Rattus norvegicus: one gene and its partners. The protein of the gene in region 1 interacts with the protein of each later gene in a pairwise test. Links are inferred from orthologs where the notes say so. Each region holds a gene or a part of one and is shown on either strand. Other genes may lie near its edges.

Evidence for each region.
Region 2: the proteins of Emilin1 (region 1) and Nmi interact in binary tests that used the Homo sapiens proteins (3 or more experiments, as listed by UniProt). The two-hybrid records come from large-scale screens. The link is inferred for Rattus norvegicus from reciprocal best matches to the Homo sapiens genes EMILIN1 and NMI.
Region 3: the proteins of Emilin1 (region 1) and Mtmr9 interact in binary tests that used the Homo sapiens proteins (3 or more experiments, as listed by UniProt). The link is inferred for Rattus norvegicus from reciprocal best matches to the Homo sapiens genes EMILIN1 and MTMR9.
Region 4: the proteins of Emilin1 (region 1) and Bex3 interact in binary tests that used the Homo sapiens proteins (3 or more experiments, as listed by UniProt). The two-hybrid records come from large-scale screens. The link is inferred for Rattus norvegicus from reciprocal best matches to the Homo sapiens genes EMILIN1 and BEX3.

The regions. Positions count from the first base shown.
Region 1 is NC_086024.1:31,180,856-31,184,857, reverse strand, and holds the start of Emilin1 (EMILIN-1 isoform 1 precursor), read left to right. Parts: upstream 1-1,200; 5' UTR 1,201-1,657; coding exon 1,658-1,827; intron 1,828-2,062; exon of another isoform or gene 2,063-2,530; intron 2,531-2,778; coding exon 2,779-2,904; intron 2,905-3,336; exon of another isoform or gene 3,337-3,363; coding exon 3,364-3,584; intron 3,585-4,002. UniProt on the Homo sapiens protein: Involved in elastic and collagen fibers formation. It is required for EFEMP2 deposition into the extracellular matrix, and collagen network assembly and cross-linking via protein-lysine 6-oxidase/LOX activity.
Region 2 is NC_086021.1:56,845,740-56,849,831, forward strand, and holds the start of Nmi (N-myc-interactor), read right to left. Parts: upstream 2,805-4,092; 5' UTR 2,786-2,804; intron 1-2,785. UniProt on the Homo sapiens protein: Acts as a signaling pathway regulator involved in innate immune system response.
Region 3 is NC_086033.1:41,964,333-41,968,338, forward strand, and holds the start of Mtmr9 (myotubularin-related protein 9), read right to left. Parts: upstream 2,805-4,006; 5' UTR 2,564-2,804; coding exon 2,382-2,563; intron 1,387-2,381; coding exon 1,278-1,386; intron 1-1,277. UniProt on the Homo sapiens protein: Acts as an adapter for myotubularin-related phosphatases. Increases lipid phosphatase MTMR6 catalytic activity, specifically towards phosphatidylinositol 3,5-bisphosphate and MTMR6 binding affinity for phosphorylated phosphatidylinositols.
Region 4 is NC_086039.1:104,063,762-104,066,929, reverse strand, and holds Bex3 (protein BEX3), read right to left. Parts: upstream 2,035-3,168; 5' UTR 1,961-2,034; intron 1,925-1,960; exon of another isoform or gene 1,689-1,924; intron 1,606-1,688; 5' UTR 1,527-1,605; intron 1,175-1,526; 5' UTR 1,147-1,174; coding exon 754-1,146; 3' UTR 505-753; downstream 1-504. UniProt on the Homo sapiens protein: May be a signaling adapter molecule involved in NGFR/p75NTR-mediated apoptosis induced by NGF. Plays a role in zinc-triggered neuronal death.

The DNA.
Region 1 (4,002 bases):
CACACACACTATCATCATACAGTCACACACACACGTCTGTACAGTCACACAATCATCTGTACAGACAGACAGACACACACACAGTCTGTACAGTCACACACAGTCATCTGTACAGATACACACACTGTCATCGTACAGTTACACACACACACACTATCATCATACAGTCACACACACGTCTGTACAGTCACACACACACACACAGTCTGTACAGTCACACACAGTCATCTGTACAGATACACACACTATCATCGTACAGTTACACACACACACACACTATCATCATACAGTCACACACACGACTGTACAGTCACACAATCATCTGTACAGACACACACACACACAGTCTGTACAGTCACACACAGTCATCTGTACAGATACACACACTATCAACGTACAGTTACACACACACACACTATCATCATACAGTCACACACACACGTCTGTACAGTCACACACACACAGTCTGTACAGTCACACACAGTCATCTGTACAGATACACACACTATCATCGTACAGTTACACACACACACACACTATCATCATACAGTCACAGACACACGTCTGTACAGTCACACACACACAGTCTGTACAGCCACACACAGTCATCTGTACAGATACACACACTATCATCGTACAGTTACACACACACACACTATCATCATACAGTCACACACACACGTCTGTACAGTCACACACACACACAAGTCTGTACAGTCACACACACACACAATCATCACCATACAGTCACACATACACACGTCTGTACAGTCACACACATACACACATCTGTACAGTCACACACGCACACACACACACACACACACACACAGCTGTACAGTCCTGCCTTCCTCCTCCTCAGGGCTCCCTCTCTCTTCATCTTCTCCCAAGTAGTCCCGCTCTGACCAACCCAGGGGATCTGGATCTCTCTGGCTGGTTTCTGGTCCTAGCCACCAGCTCTGGGCCTCCTATCCAGATTTGGCCCAGGCTCCATGTGGCCTGTCTGAGAGGCTGGCCTCAAGCCCGGCAGCAACTCCACATTTCTCTGTTTTTCCTCCCCCCCCCCTCTTTCCCGGAGTTAACAAGAAGCAGATGTGGCTCACGATGGTTGGAGAGGTGGGGGAGGAAGGGGGAGGCTGGACCGCCAGCCAGACAGGGGGAAGGGAGGGGAGAGAAGGGAGGGAGGGAGAAGGCTGGCCCGCACCATAGTCACTCTTGTGCCTCTCAACAGCCACAGGGGCAAAGCTCTGTCATCTTTAGGATCCAGTCACCAGGGAACAAAACAGGGAGACCAGAAGAGGGCCAGCTGGAGCCAGGGGGTGGAGGCTCAGGAAGCAGTTTCTGAAAGGGGCAGGGACCAGGCACAGGAGGCCAGGGGCCCGGAGAACAGACTCCCCTCAGAAGTGCAGAAGAGGAGAGCGGAAGGAACTGAGGGAGGGACAGACAGGAGCCTGAGGAGGAAAGAGGAGGGGGAAAGAGGGGTCAGGCCCAGCAGCCAAGGAGGAGGCGTGCAGCTGGGGGCTGCAGGCAGGAAGCTAGGGACAGAGCTGGCTCAGCGTGCTGTCCCCTGAAGCAGCGGCATCCCCTGGAAGCACGGGTACAGGCATCATTGGTCAGACCAAGATGTGTCTCTAAGGGTAGCAAGGAACACCTCACCATGGCCCCCAGAATCCTCTGGAGCTGCTATCTCTGCTGTCTGCTGACCATTGCCACAGAAGCTGCCAGCTACCCTCCTCGGGGCTACAGCCTGTACACAGGGGGCAGTGGGGCCCTCAGTCCTGGGGGACCCCAGGCCCAGAACTCACCCCGGCCTGCCAGCCGCCACAGGTAAGAGTCTGTGTCCCAGCCAGGGCTGGAAGCTATGGTTGGGAAAGTCTTTAGAAGGTGGGCAACGGGCTTAATGCAATGAGAAGGGCAGCATGGAGGCCCATCCATCAATGTGCCGCCCATATGAACCTCCCAGTGGAACTTTTTCCAGGCTTTGGTGGCCTAAGGGCCATCAGCTCTGACCTCTTCCCTCTTCCCTCTTCCCTCTTTCCTATGGAGGTCTGCAGTTCGGTGCCCAGGGAAACTACACCAAGGGCCATGGACCCTCCTTCCTGCCAGCTGCCAGCTGTGTGCCAGCCAGCTCTGGATCAGGCAGACCTTTTGTCCTTCTCTAGGGCTTCCCTGGCCCCGTCCGCTAGTGTATAATTCTGACACTCCTCCTGCTCTGTTCCCTCTGGCATCGCAGCAGCCCATAGCCTAGAAGCCAGTGTGAATGGGGCCAAGAGGGCAGCACCACAAGCCCCAAGGGGACAGAGCCCATCAGTAGCTCATTCTTTGCTTAAGCATAGGCCGGACATTTGCCTGCCCCGCTCTTCTCCTGGAGGGTTGGGTGGGAGCACCGTGTGCAGAAGATCATCTACAGGAACCCAGCTGGTCGGCTTACACAGCTGGGGTTTGAGATAGGCCCAAAAAAGTACACAAGAGACCGTGGATTCTAGGGTGCTCTGGGACCCCACAGTCAGGAGGACTGACGTCTCTGTGTGTTTGTATCCTTATGTCTTCCCTGTCTTGAAAAGTCTTTATCTGCTATAGTGACATAAGAAAGTGTGTGTGTGTGTGTGTGTGTGTGTGAGAGAGAGAGAGGGGGGGGGGAATGGTGCTGCCCCTGCAAAAACCCTACCTTTCAGTGGGTCCTCAAGGCCCCCTTCATCTTTTGACCCTCCTTCAGCCTCTGGGCCCACTGGGGCTTGTGTCTTTGGTCCCTTGGCCCAGGTAGGGTTGTGCCTACAGGAACTGGTGTGCCTACGTGGTGACTCGGACAGTGAGCTGCGTCCTTGAGGATGGAGTGGAGACCTTTGTCAAGCCAGACTATCAACCCTGTGGCTGGGGCCAGCCCCAGTGTCCTCGAAGTATCATGTGAGCCCCCAACTTTAAAGGATTGGGTACTCAGTGGGATCTGGGCAAGGGGAGGCAGCTGGTGGTCATTTAGGGGGTCTGTACAAAGGAGGGAGCAGGGGAAAGGATAAGACTTCAGTCAGAACCGTTTTGAGAGGATAGTGGAGCTTGGTTGGTGAGCTGCCCCAGGCATTCTTTCCCTGTCTCCAGCCTTCAGGTCTTCTGCTGACACAGGTCAGCCTCAAAGAGATTAGCTCAGGGTTCCAGCACAGAGAAAGGGGAGAAAGAGCCAGGATCTAACCCAGGGCTAAAAAGCCGATAGCTGGAAAAAAAAAAAAAAAAAAAGCTGATAGCTGTTGAATGACCAGGGCCACATAGTGGCCAGAGAGGTAGATCTAGCCTGAAGCACAAGGTGACAGGAGAGAATACGAAACCTTCCTTTCCTTTGCCTAGGTAGAAACCTTCCTTTCCTTTGCCTAGGTACCGCAGCTTCCTTCGCCCTCGCTACCGGGTGGCCTACAAGACGGTGACAGACATGGAGTGGAGGTGCTGTCAGGGGTATGGGGGCGATGACTGCGGAGAGGGTCCTGCTTCTGTTCTGGGCCCTGCACCCTCCACACCACTTCCCCGGCCCAGGCCTGCGCGTCCCAACCTGTCTGGCTCCAGTGCCGGCAGCCACCTCAGTGGACTAGGAGGAGAAGGTGAGTCTGCATGTTGCCCGGGATGGGGAAATCCTGAGTGGAAAATGTGGGGCTCCGCTGTGGAGGGTGGGAAACCCCTGAGCTCTAAACTAGGGGGAAGGTGGACCGAACGGAGATAATGACATCCCTGAGACTTCGCATGTTTGTGTGCTTGTGTGATTTGAGTGTGTTTGACGGGAGGGGCAGGGGGGAGAGAGCAGGAGTTGGGAGAGACTGATTCAAAGACCTGAAAACTTAAGAACTGAGTAAGAAGGCATAGAGACAATTTGTTCACATACTCCCTCTTGTGGCCAAGGTCCTTCCTACTCGGGAACTGCTGTGGGAGAAGCGGGGGTAATTCCCTTGAGAAGCTCTAGCTGTCCGCAGGGAAGAGAGTTAAGACTACAAATCCTAGCATGCATTGCACCTGACTACAGGT
Region 2 (4,092 bases), on another chromosome or scaffold:
GATGAAATTCTTTGGTTCTTCGAGGGTCATAGCAAACCTCCATAAGGTTCCTGAAGCCTTTTCTGACCTCCCCAGAAGACATTAGTTCTTCTTTATTGCTTACAAGGCACTTTAATTATATGTGTCACTTTAAGTAAGCAACGAATACCTACAGACTGGGACTACAGGCAGGCACTCCTGCTTGCATTCAGGGCAGGAACCTATGCAACCAAGAACTATACTATACTGTGCATACTATACTGTGTATTTTATATTGGATATTTTTCTGCCCAGTAAAATATATATTCATATTCATATATATTCATGTCCATATAGACATGAACTCCTCTTATTACATTTCTTTTTTTTCCTTTTTTTCGGAGCTGGGGACAGAACCCAGGGCCTTGCGCTTGCTAAGCAAGTGCTCTACCACTGAGCTAAATCCCCAACCCCTCTTATTACATTTCTTAAGAGAGAAATTACAATTGTTTTTAAATATTAAAACACCAACACTCTTTTTTTAAACATTTTTTTTAGATTTTTTTTTTTAAGATTTATTTATTTCATGTATGTGAGTACCCTGTCGCTGTCTTCAGACACACCAGAAGAGGGCATCAGATCCTATTACAGATGGTTGTGAGTCACCATGTGGTTACTGGGAACTGAACTCAGGAGAGCAGTCTCTGCTCTTAACTGCTGGGCCATCTCTCCAGCCCAAAGCACCAATATTTTTAAAAGCTCTTGATGTAAGTGGTCTATTGCATAACACCCCCAGAATATCTTCATCGCATTTCTCATCTGAATATTTTTCCCTTTCACACTGTGAGGAATGTATGGTAATTCTTCCCTTTCAAGCAATCTTATACTAAGCAGAAAAATGACCCCTTCAAAGACATCCATGTTCTAGTCCCAAGAACTTGGGAAAAACGTTACACTGCAGAGAAGATTTAAGGCTGCAAACTGAATTCAGGAGGCTGATTGTAAAATACGGAGGTAGGAGCTGAAGAGATGGCTCCAGGGTAAAGAGCTTGCTGGGTAAGCACTGGTACTTCCCATCCTGGGCAAGGTGCAGTGCATTCTGAGACTTGCTGTCAGACAGTGTAGCCAAGACTACAGGTCCACTGAGAGACCCTGACTCAGAAATTAAAGTGGAGCAAAAGAGAAGACAATATCCAGAGTTCTATCTCTGGCCTCCACAGGTGCATTCAGGTATGTACACACACACACACACACACACACACACACACACACACACACACACACAATATAGAGATTATGCTGCATTGTATGTGAAAACTTCACCTAACCAGAAACTCCTCTAGATTAAAGGAGGGGATAACATCAGCATTAGACTGAGATAGGAGGCAAAAACACGATCAGAGAAGCAATGCTGATCCTGACTTTGGAAATGGGAGACGGAATGCCAAGCCAAGCAAAGAAGGCTGATCCAGAAAGTGGAAGGAGTTCGTCCCAAGAGCTCCCAGGACAGAAGACAGCTCTGCTAGCCCCTTTACTTTCCCAGGGAGACGCACAGACCCTGACAACTGACAGACACACAGACATACACAGGCACACATCTCGTTTTAAAGTGGTACTAAAAGTAAATAGTTTTAAATTAAAAAGTGTGTCCATGCAGGCGCATGTGTGTATAAGCCACCAAGGCCATGTAATTAATTATGGCAGTAAACTTAAAAAAATAAACTATTATCTCATTTTCCTAAGTATACTTATATCATGGTGATGCAATACACCGAGTTCCTGGCAACATAAAGAAAGGAAGAAAATACAATGTATCCATGCTGTATACACCTGAAACATGTCCAAAGATGGGGTGATGCAATACACCGAGTTCCCGGCAGCATAAAGAAAGGAAGAAAATATAATGTATCCATGCTGTATACACCTGAAACATGTCAAAAGATGGATACAATTTTAACAATTAAAAGATCCTAATTGTATTTCTTTTATAATCAGGGGACAGTTGATTGAGTACAATAAAGTAACTGGTCTATCTGGGTGGTGGCACAGCTCTGTAACAAGAGGATCAAGAGTTCAAAGCCAGCACAGTGTAAATAGAAAGCAGTTGCCTCGACTGTTTTCGTTGCTGTGCAGAAGTTTGGTTTATAGGCAGGGAAGAAAGCTGAAAAAGCAGGAAGTGAACATATTGATTCAGAGTTAAGTTCTCTGTGAGACAGGGCCAGGGAGACCGGAACACAATAAGGGACTGGTGAATGTCCAGCAACTTTATGTGACGATTAAAGGAGAGGTGATTTCATTCTCTGGCCCAGTGAAACCTGCTGATTCCCCTCTCTCCTGGCTGGACCGGACACAGGAAAAGTTTCCTTCAGAGGCACACAAGTTAGCTTGGATGCCTCTGGAACAGGAGTCCTCTTAGTCCAAACCAGTGGCCTCCTAGAAATTTATTAAGTATTTTCCCTTCAACATCTCCTCCCAAAACAAAACAAAAAATCTTACATATTCTGAAAAAGTGAGGCGTGACTACAGAATTCAGCACCTAACAAGGAAAAATGAATAATAGTCTTCCCGGGAAAGCCATTTTACTAAGAACATGCTGGAGCCAGTCCCAGTGACTATAACTTTCCTTTTCCCAGGAAGGGAAGCAACCCAAGGCTGAGAGCCCGGAGCAGGTGAGTCCCCAGACAGAGCACTGGGGACCCTGAGGCCCACAATGCTGGGCTGGAAGCCGCAGTCCTCCGCCCTCTGAGCGCGCGGGGTGGAGCATCCCTGAGCGAGGGTGGTGGGACAGCAGGGACGCAGAGGACCATCCGGTGGGACAAGCACTCACCCTCTCTGCCGCGCAGCGCTCGGAAGCCGGCAGCGCCGGTAGAACCGAACCCCACCTCGGAAACACAAACCTGGCCTCTGCAATGAGCAGGCTCAGTCACAGGCCGTTCTTTCACTTTCGTTTATTTCAGAAACAGGATGCTTCTGCTCCTTGCCCTGCGGACCTCGTCCCGGGCGCCATTGCTGCTGTTTCTATACTGGCAGTAATTCCAAGACCTGCTTTGAAAAGCTTATTTGTGTGCATTCTGCGGAACGCGCTGTTGAAAAAAACTGTATGGAAACCAGGGCTCTCTACGCAAATTCCCTCTGTAATTTGCTAGACGGTTACAAAGTTTGACACCAGCACAAGACAGACCAGGAAGCTGGAAAAGCTGCTTCCTGGGTTGGATTTTATGACGCTTGAAAGTTTTCTTCTAAGCTTTGTTTTTGTTGTGAAGATTTTGTAAACAAACACTCCCGCTAGATGTGTGCATTTCCTTTGCCAGAAAAATAGCTGGCTTCTGTCAAGAATGGTAGTGTCCCCTAATCCTATACCAAGAACGAGTTACTCCATAGCTGGGCGGCACTTGAGCACAGAGCTGTGGAAGAGTGGAAGACAGCAAAGAGATATCAGGGCCTTCTACATAGTGGTGCCCTGTATCAGTACGTATTAACCCATAGCTCGGTCTAAAATGACACACAGTGGCAGAAGCAAAATTCTTTGCATCAAGAGTAGTGATGGGGCGGCCGGGTTGGCGGCGGTGCAGGCCTTTAATCCCAGCACTCAGGAGGCAGAGGCAAGAGGATCTCTGTGAGTTTGTGGCCAGAGTTCCAGGACAGCCATGACTATACAGGAAAAAACCTGTCTGGGCCAGGGAGGGCGGGGGTGGGGTGGGGGGGGTGGTGGTGGTGATAGGACCCAGTTTACAATGACACCAGAACCATATGAGACCCTGTCTTAAAAAAAAAAAAAAAAAAAAAAGATAAGGGTTTCTTTTGTGTTGTCAGCCCAATTAGAAAGTACAGGCTACAGTGACTGGTACATGGGAAGGGGGGTGATTCCCAGGGTTGGGTTACCCCTTCTCAGAGGAGAAGGGGAGGGCAGAGGACATATAAGAGAGTGGGACTAGGAGGAGAGGAGGTGTTGATGTTGGGATGTAAAGTAAATAAATAAATTAATTGTCTATTTTTTGAAAAATAAAAACAAATGGTCTCGGTATTAGGTTTTCTTCTGAATTTGAGTGGGAGCATAAATGTCAATTAAAACTCATAAGAGGTCATTGGTTTGGACTGAGTTCCAGAGCAAAAGTGAAATCGCTTATGCTGAAA
Region 3 (4,006 bases), on another chromosome or scaffold:
TTGCTTTCTAATTCTTGTTGGGGAGTATAGCCAAGCCAAGATCACACTTCCAAGTGACAACTGTGTATGGCAGACTTTTCAACGTACACGTTCATTTCTACAAGCAGAACCTGGCAAAAGCAGAGAGGTTTGTATTCACTTCCTCAATAACACATCACCCGATCCTCTACTTCTTGTTTAAAGCCAAACCAAATTCTAATTATAGATTTAAGGCTTTCTCTCTTCTTTTAAGAGCTTAATCCACTTTTTTTTTAAAGAAAAATAAAGCCCAATAAGTCAGTTATACAGAAAGAAAACAAAATTATCTAGAAATCACTTTAAACAGAATCAGTTGATATAGCTGATATAATTTGGTGTTAGCAATTTAAAATGAGGCAATTTAAAAGTTGGGGTGTGTACCGAAATAGTTAGAAGGAGGAAAGGGAGTGTGAGGCCTTCATCAGAGCCCTTAAACTATCCAAGCAACGTTCCTATGTGTGGCCATTTGGACCAATGTTTCTATGTTTGACCAATGTCCAAAGCTCTTATACATGCATAAACAGACATGCCTCAGGTGGACTAGTGAAAACAAATGCACACTTGCAGATGTGCTAAAGTCACGGATGACAGCTGTTGGTGACAATCACTTGCTTTAGTCTATTACACAACACTGTGAATACACTTTTGACACAATGGTAAGCTGAGAAACGGTTATGACACTGAACTTTATGTGACATAGCTACTTCTATCACAAAGTCTCAGAATAAAAATGTTGCCATAGAAGGGCCCTCCAATGCAGCAACCACTTGCCAAGTATTATACTAAGCATTCTACATATGCCCACGAATGTAATCGTACAACACCCTAAAAGGCCCGTAAAGTTATTCTCGCTTTATGAGACACTGTGGGCTAACTGTGAGAGGTGAGGTACTTCATTCATGGGCCCGTGCTAACAGGACCCCACTACTACAACAATCACAGTATTAGGAGTACTGCTCAGAGTTCAAGGGTTCCAAAGATACACTAAACTCAGGAAGATCAATCACACCAGCTCACTGTAAAGCCCACTGACTGTAACAAGTCCACCATCTAGCTACATTGTATTTGTTTTAGTGGCTTAGAATTCCACATGGTATGTTCTTTCAAGAAAGCCACTGAAACACAAAAACAGTTCACAAACTGCCTTCATCAAGTATCAAGATTTGCAGAGTAAACGTGATTTTTCTCATGTGTCAAGGGCTGTACAGAATCAGAATATTGCCATTTTCCTATCAGAATTTTGCCTGCAAAATACTTACCTCGATGGAACTGGCTATATTTAAACACTCCTCCATTCCAGGAATATCCAACTGAATTATTCGGAAATCTTTACATTTTATGATAATAGTACCCAGAGAGCCCACAAATCTGTAAGAAATGACAAATCATGAGAATGGTAAGAAAACCAGTGAGGACAGTAGGTGAGAACCAGAACATGGAGAGCCAGGGATTCAGCCTTTATCATGCAGGCATGAGAGACCAGTGAATACACTTATGCCACAAAGAGTAGTAGCCTGCTGCTGGGATGGATGGATGGATGGCTGGCCTGCAACCTCTTCATCCAACACTATGACTTCAGATGGTCCTAAGGCATAATCTCTGTAGAAATCGTAACATCCAAAATATTTAATCAAGCAGTAGACAGTATGTTGTTACACACACTTCATAATGAATTATATAATTTGCCTTCTGCCTAGAGTACACAGGGTTCATAGGGACACCGACAAAGCAGAGAAACTAAGCGCAAATCAAAGTATATGTAACTGTTTGACTCTGAGGCACTCTTTTGCACAGGTAAAGAGTACAGAGTGGGAGGCTGACACCTTAATGATCTTTAAACCTTTAAAGGAGAATAAAATGCGCATATGGAAAAGTAATGCAGTGTACTCAGTTAAGAACTATAGCCAGGCATAGTGGCCCATACACACACAGCTGTAATTCCAGCACTTACTTGGGAGGCTGAGGCTGGAGAGTAGGAAGTTCAAGACTGGCCTGGGCTGAAAAGGGGTGAGCATGCCTATTTAAGAACGGCGGCGCGTTGGGGGCCGGAGGCAGGGGAGAATTAAATTGTATTTAATTACAACTTGGTAAAGTCAGATTGGCAACTAGCAATTCGAAAACTGGCAAGGAACATTCAAGAAATGTGATGAGAGAAATTTTTTTTACGGAGAACACTGAAAATACGACCGCTGCGACTCTGAGACCTTAGCCTGGAGATGCCAGGTAGCCAGTGCAGTTGGCTTTCAAATGTAGGCCACAGGAGGCTCATTTGGCTGGCTGAGCGAGGATGCCAAAAATAAAACACCTGAAAGCGTCTGTTCTGTTCCTGGCTCCTCACGGACCTGGGTGTGGTAGGCGCTCACCGTTTGTCAATGGCGTCGATATTTGAATGGAGGAGCCAGAGCTCCTCAGTGTTGTCCTGCCGGGAAGACAGGATCAGGTGGTGGCCCGTCAGACATAGGGTCCCTTCCACAGCGGGGTAGAAAGGCCGGTGCAGCACCACATTGTCCACCCGCGGGGTCTTAATCAGCTCCGCAAACTCCATGTCTCTAGCGGAGGGAGGCCTACTCCCGCAGACGCAGGGCGGTTAATCCGCAGACCTAGCGCCTCGGCTGGGCGGGTCCGGGAGGTCGAGCCCCGCCCCTATTGGGCGGGTGCGTTAAGGCCTGAGGGCACCGCCCTGGTCACTTCCCCGAGTCTCTTCGGCACCACTGGCCTGCACTCGGCGCAGAGAAGGCTTCACGCCAGGCCTTGCACTTTCTGCTGCCACCGGCCCCTGACCGGCGGGCTGCGGAGGAGACGGACCTGGTGTCGGGGTAGCATCCGAGCTCGAGCAGCTAGGGACTTCTGGCGGAAGTAGCTACTGGACGCTGCACCCGGCAGTAACTCCGTGCAGAATTAGAGGCACTCAAGACTCGGAAGACTTAGAAGCCGGACCGGAAGTTGGTCCTTTGTTAGATCCGGTGGAACACAGCCAGAAACAATGACTTTATGTTCCTACAACGGAGCGGGGGAAAAAAGAACTCTCATCATCTACGGGCGCAATCCTTGCCCTTCAAATACTCCTCATCGGAAAAGGCAGGACAAAAAGATGTCACTGACCTGCGGGGATCCGCTTGAGTGGTGTCCCTCAAGAGCTCTTCTGGGCGTTTGCTATAATTGGTGGTTATTATCAGGGATTGGTTACGAAGAGATGTCAAATGTAGGATCGAAGTAGTGGTTGTGATCGAGAAATAGCCTTCTAGTGTCTGGAAGGGACACGGGGCTCTATTCCTTAGACCCTTTGAGAACGCCATGATTTTAACCAAGAACAGCGTATTCTAAAAGGATGCAAAGAGAAACTTTTTAATCCTCGCCCTGTGAAGGACTCTAGTAACTGCAGAAACAGCTCAGTTAATCTGTAGCAAAGCCGGAAATCAAAGACCTTGCTAAGTATATTGGTCACGACTTCATAGCATCCCGGCTAAGTACAGTCTAGCTGAACTGCTCAAGGACAGTGCAATGACAGACTTTTGCTGTTGTAATTTCCCCCTTCTCGCTTTCCGTCTTTCTGCTTTATCCCAGAATAAGAATTATGTTTGAGTCCTGGCCTGCTCTTACTTTGTTAGCCGTGAAAATTCTCACCATGCAGTATCTAAGAACAGCGAGGTAGCTGACTTTCGAGTGTGCAAAGTGAAGCTGGTCAGACTGCACAGTGTTTGCCCTTGATTGTGTTCTGGTCTCTCCTAAAAATTTTCCCTTCTTAAATCACTCCTGCAATTCCAATTTATGTGCAAAAGAAAAACAACTAGCAACGAATGCTAAGGGAATGAGGCAAAGTAATGTGAAGGTATTTTCCAGACTGGATTTGTTCATTTTCTTCCTCATCTGACACATTATTTTAATTACAAATTGTGGAATCTAGAATTTACTTCTAATCTGAAAAATAATGGAAAATTTTTACAGAGAAAACATGAAAGTAAAACCTTGAAGATTAAGGTTCCCTGAA
Region 4 (3,168 bases), on another chromosome or scaffold:
ATCAAGCTATAGACGTTTTTCTACCCTATCATACCTCTCACTACATACTTCAGTCAAATTGAGCTGTGCTAAGGCCTATAGGTATAGATTCAGAAGGGAATGTGTACCCAAATCGCATACCTGTAACCGAAAAAGGATTGCAGCATACAGATGACATGGAGGAACCCACCTCCTTTTCCTGTATGGAATTGGGAAAATGGACAAGATCTGAAGATATTCCTCAGTTTACCCCAACTATTTAGGGACGGCTGGGGGCTTAAAAATCTAAACCATATTGGACAATTTTAAGAAATTCTATCTTCACCAAGAGGATTTACTCTTTAAGTTTGTTGAGCAAATAATTCTATAAACCTGCACTAGATTCATAAACTTATACCCCAAAAGTTTATGAAGCCCCAAATAAAAGGAAAGTTATACGTGTCCCCCCAACACTTTCAGAGTTTTTGTAGCTCATTTTTTACTCTAGGTATTTATGCTTTAAGGAGACAATAATGATTACCCAGGTTGCTTTTCAGTTGCTTTATTGACTTTACATTTTTTCCATGCAAATGGGCAACACTGTACTGTTGACAGAAACTCACACTGAGTGGGAAGGCAATTTCCAATTATAAGTTGGCAACACAAGCCCCGCCTGGCACATGGAAATAACACAAGGCTCACCACAAACGGGTCATTTAAAGGCATGTCAGGAAAATGCAAGGGCTAGGAATACAGCGGGAATCACAGTATGAATCTCAGGGGAAATGACCGAAGTCAAGGCATAAGGCAGAATTCATCGTGATGGTCGTGGTGATTAGAGAGCTCCCCCATAAGAATACGCAGACAATTTCTCAACTGCAGCTCCCTAAGCTTTCTCCGGATCTCTCTCATCTCCTCCATGAACATTTCCATATCATCTCCATCTCCACCCAACCCATCATTCATCTGCCTGTTGGGAATGGCCCATCGAAAGTTAGGGGCAAGTCGGCGGGCCTGTCCTCTCCGGTGATGATTGTGGTTGTGGTTGTGGTTGTGGTTGTGGTTATGGTTGTGGTTGTTGTTGTTTGCAGCAGGCTGGTGGCCCTCACCTCCTCCCACGGGGCGGTCTTCCTGTCCATTCTGCAGGGGCTGCTCCATTTCTTCGTTTTCCTGGTGGATATTGGCCATGATGAGATTTTGTTTTCGGGTTGTTATTCTTTGAACACAAGTAAGAGAGGGCAAGGAAAAAAACTGAATGCTTGGTGCTGTGACCAGCAAAATTCAGAGACTAACTGCAAGGGTTTTCATTATTATTTTTCCCCATCTTAGGGTCTCCAGGCAACCTCTACGGAACCTCCATTTCGAGTCCCTCCTCCCACCCCCCAGCTCTCTTTTCCCTCCCTCCCCCAAAGCCCACCATTTTTATTTCCCAGGATCCTTTCCCTGAGCTTTGAGGCACCAAAATGGAGGACTGAGATGGAGAGTAGTGTGAGGTGGGGGTTTTCACTGGGGTCCTAGACGGGGCTTCCCCCTACCCCCAACAAAACACACACTGCCCCTGAACGGACCTGGGCCTATCCCTTGCCGCGTAGTCCTCCTCTCAATCCTCTCTGCGAGACGCGCCTCCGCGACTCCCGGCTAGCAGACCTGCAGACGGGGTGGGATGGGAAGGACTCGGCGCGGGCTCCGCACCGCACCCCCTTCCCCAGACCCACCGCCCATCCCCCTACCCGCAGCGGTCGCCCACGATCTCCAGCAGCCCTGCCCCATCCCGGCTCTCCCTGGCTAGCGCTCTCCGCTGCCCGCAGGCCGGCAGGTCCAGCCGCCCCTTTCCCGGGACCCCCGCGCCGTTCCCGCCCCTGAGCGGGGGCGCCCCTTCCCGGACGCAGCCGGGGTTCCCTCCGCGATGCACAAAGCCGCCGAGCCGCTGCACCGTCCCGGGGTGCGCGCCCGCCCGACGCCTGGCTGTCGCCTTCAGGGCCGCTGCGTGCAGGCCCCTTACCTGCCCCGCTCGCCTTGGGCCCGATGCCAGCCCGCCGCGCGCAGACAAGCTCTGAGCTGGTGGCCAGACGCGAGTGACGACTGCACCCAAGGCTGCGTCGCTCTGCAGCCCCGGGTCACGTGAGGGCCTCGCGTCACTGCCAAGCTCGCTCCCCCAGCTCAGGAGGCCAGTGCGACAGGAGGCCCCGCCCCCGCCGCCCGCCGCCAGCGCTCACCTCGGGCCCCACCCGTCACTCATCCGGATCCGCACCAATCTGAGGAACCACAAGTGGCATCACCGTCAGGAGGTTGGACATCTCCCTTCCCTGTTACCAGGGAGAGTCTGCACCATCCTCCATCTCTCCCTCCCACTATAGCCAGGTCTTGGCTTTGGCCTTCTTTGAGATTCCTCTCCACCTTATACAAATGTTTTCTCCAGGATTTCTCCCCATGAGACACCAGGAGGTGGAGAGTGGGATAGACTGTATATATTTCTCTTTATTTCCTTAAAACACACGCGCGCGCGCGCGCGCGCACACACACACACACACACACACACACACACACACACACACACACACACGTACACGTCCCCGCGCAGGGATGCATGCGCGAGTACACACACGATCAGCATGCTTTAGAAAATTCAAAATTATAAGGACCACTTCTTTCTGAAATGCTGGGGATTGATTCTCTAGTTTAATAATTGCTGGAGAAGCTCTCATCTCCTGAGGTGTATTTACAAAGCGCTTCAACCCCTGCCCCCCAATACACACACTACTTAAACATAAAAAAAAGCCTGTCTATGTTGTTGAATTTCAGTCCTCCTATGTCAGCTTCCCTTGTAGCTAAGGTTAAAGGCCTGCACTACCAAGGCTGGTGAGTTTTCAGTTTTGAAAGAAATGCTTCATTCTGCAAAATGAAAACAAAATGCTGCTTATGCCATCAAGCAGAAAATATCTTCTCTAAGTTTTGCATGTCAGTTTTGAAACACATTGTATTAGTCTGTTTCAATCTTTTATTTAAAAATAAAAGACTCTTGCTGAATACAAACTAATGCTTTAAAACAGGTCTGGAATGGTTTCTACAGAGAGAAGTCATCATTTTATATGAATTTTTGGTGTGCGTGACAGGTTCTCAGTATGTAGTCCCTAATGGACTGGAGCTAGCTATATTTAACAGGCCTCAAACTTGGGGTGATCTTCCCTACCTCTGCCTCCTCCTTCTGCC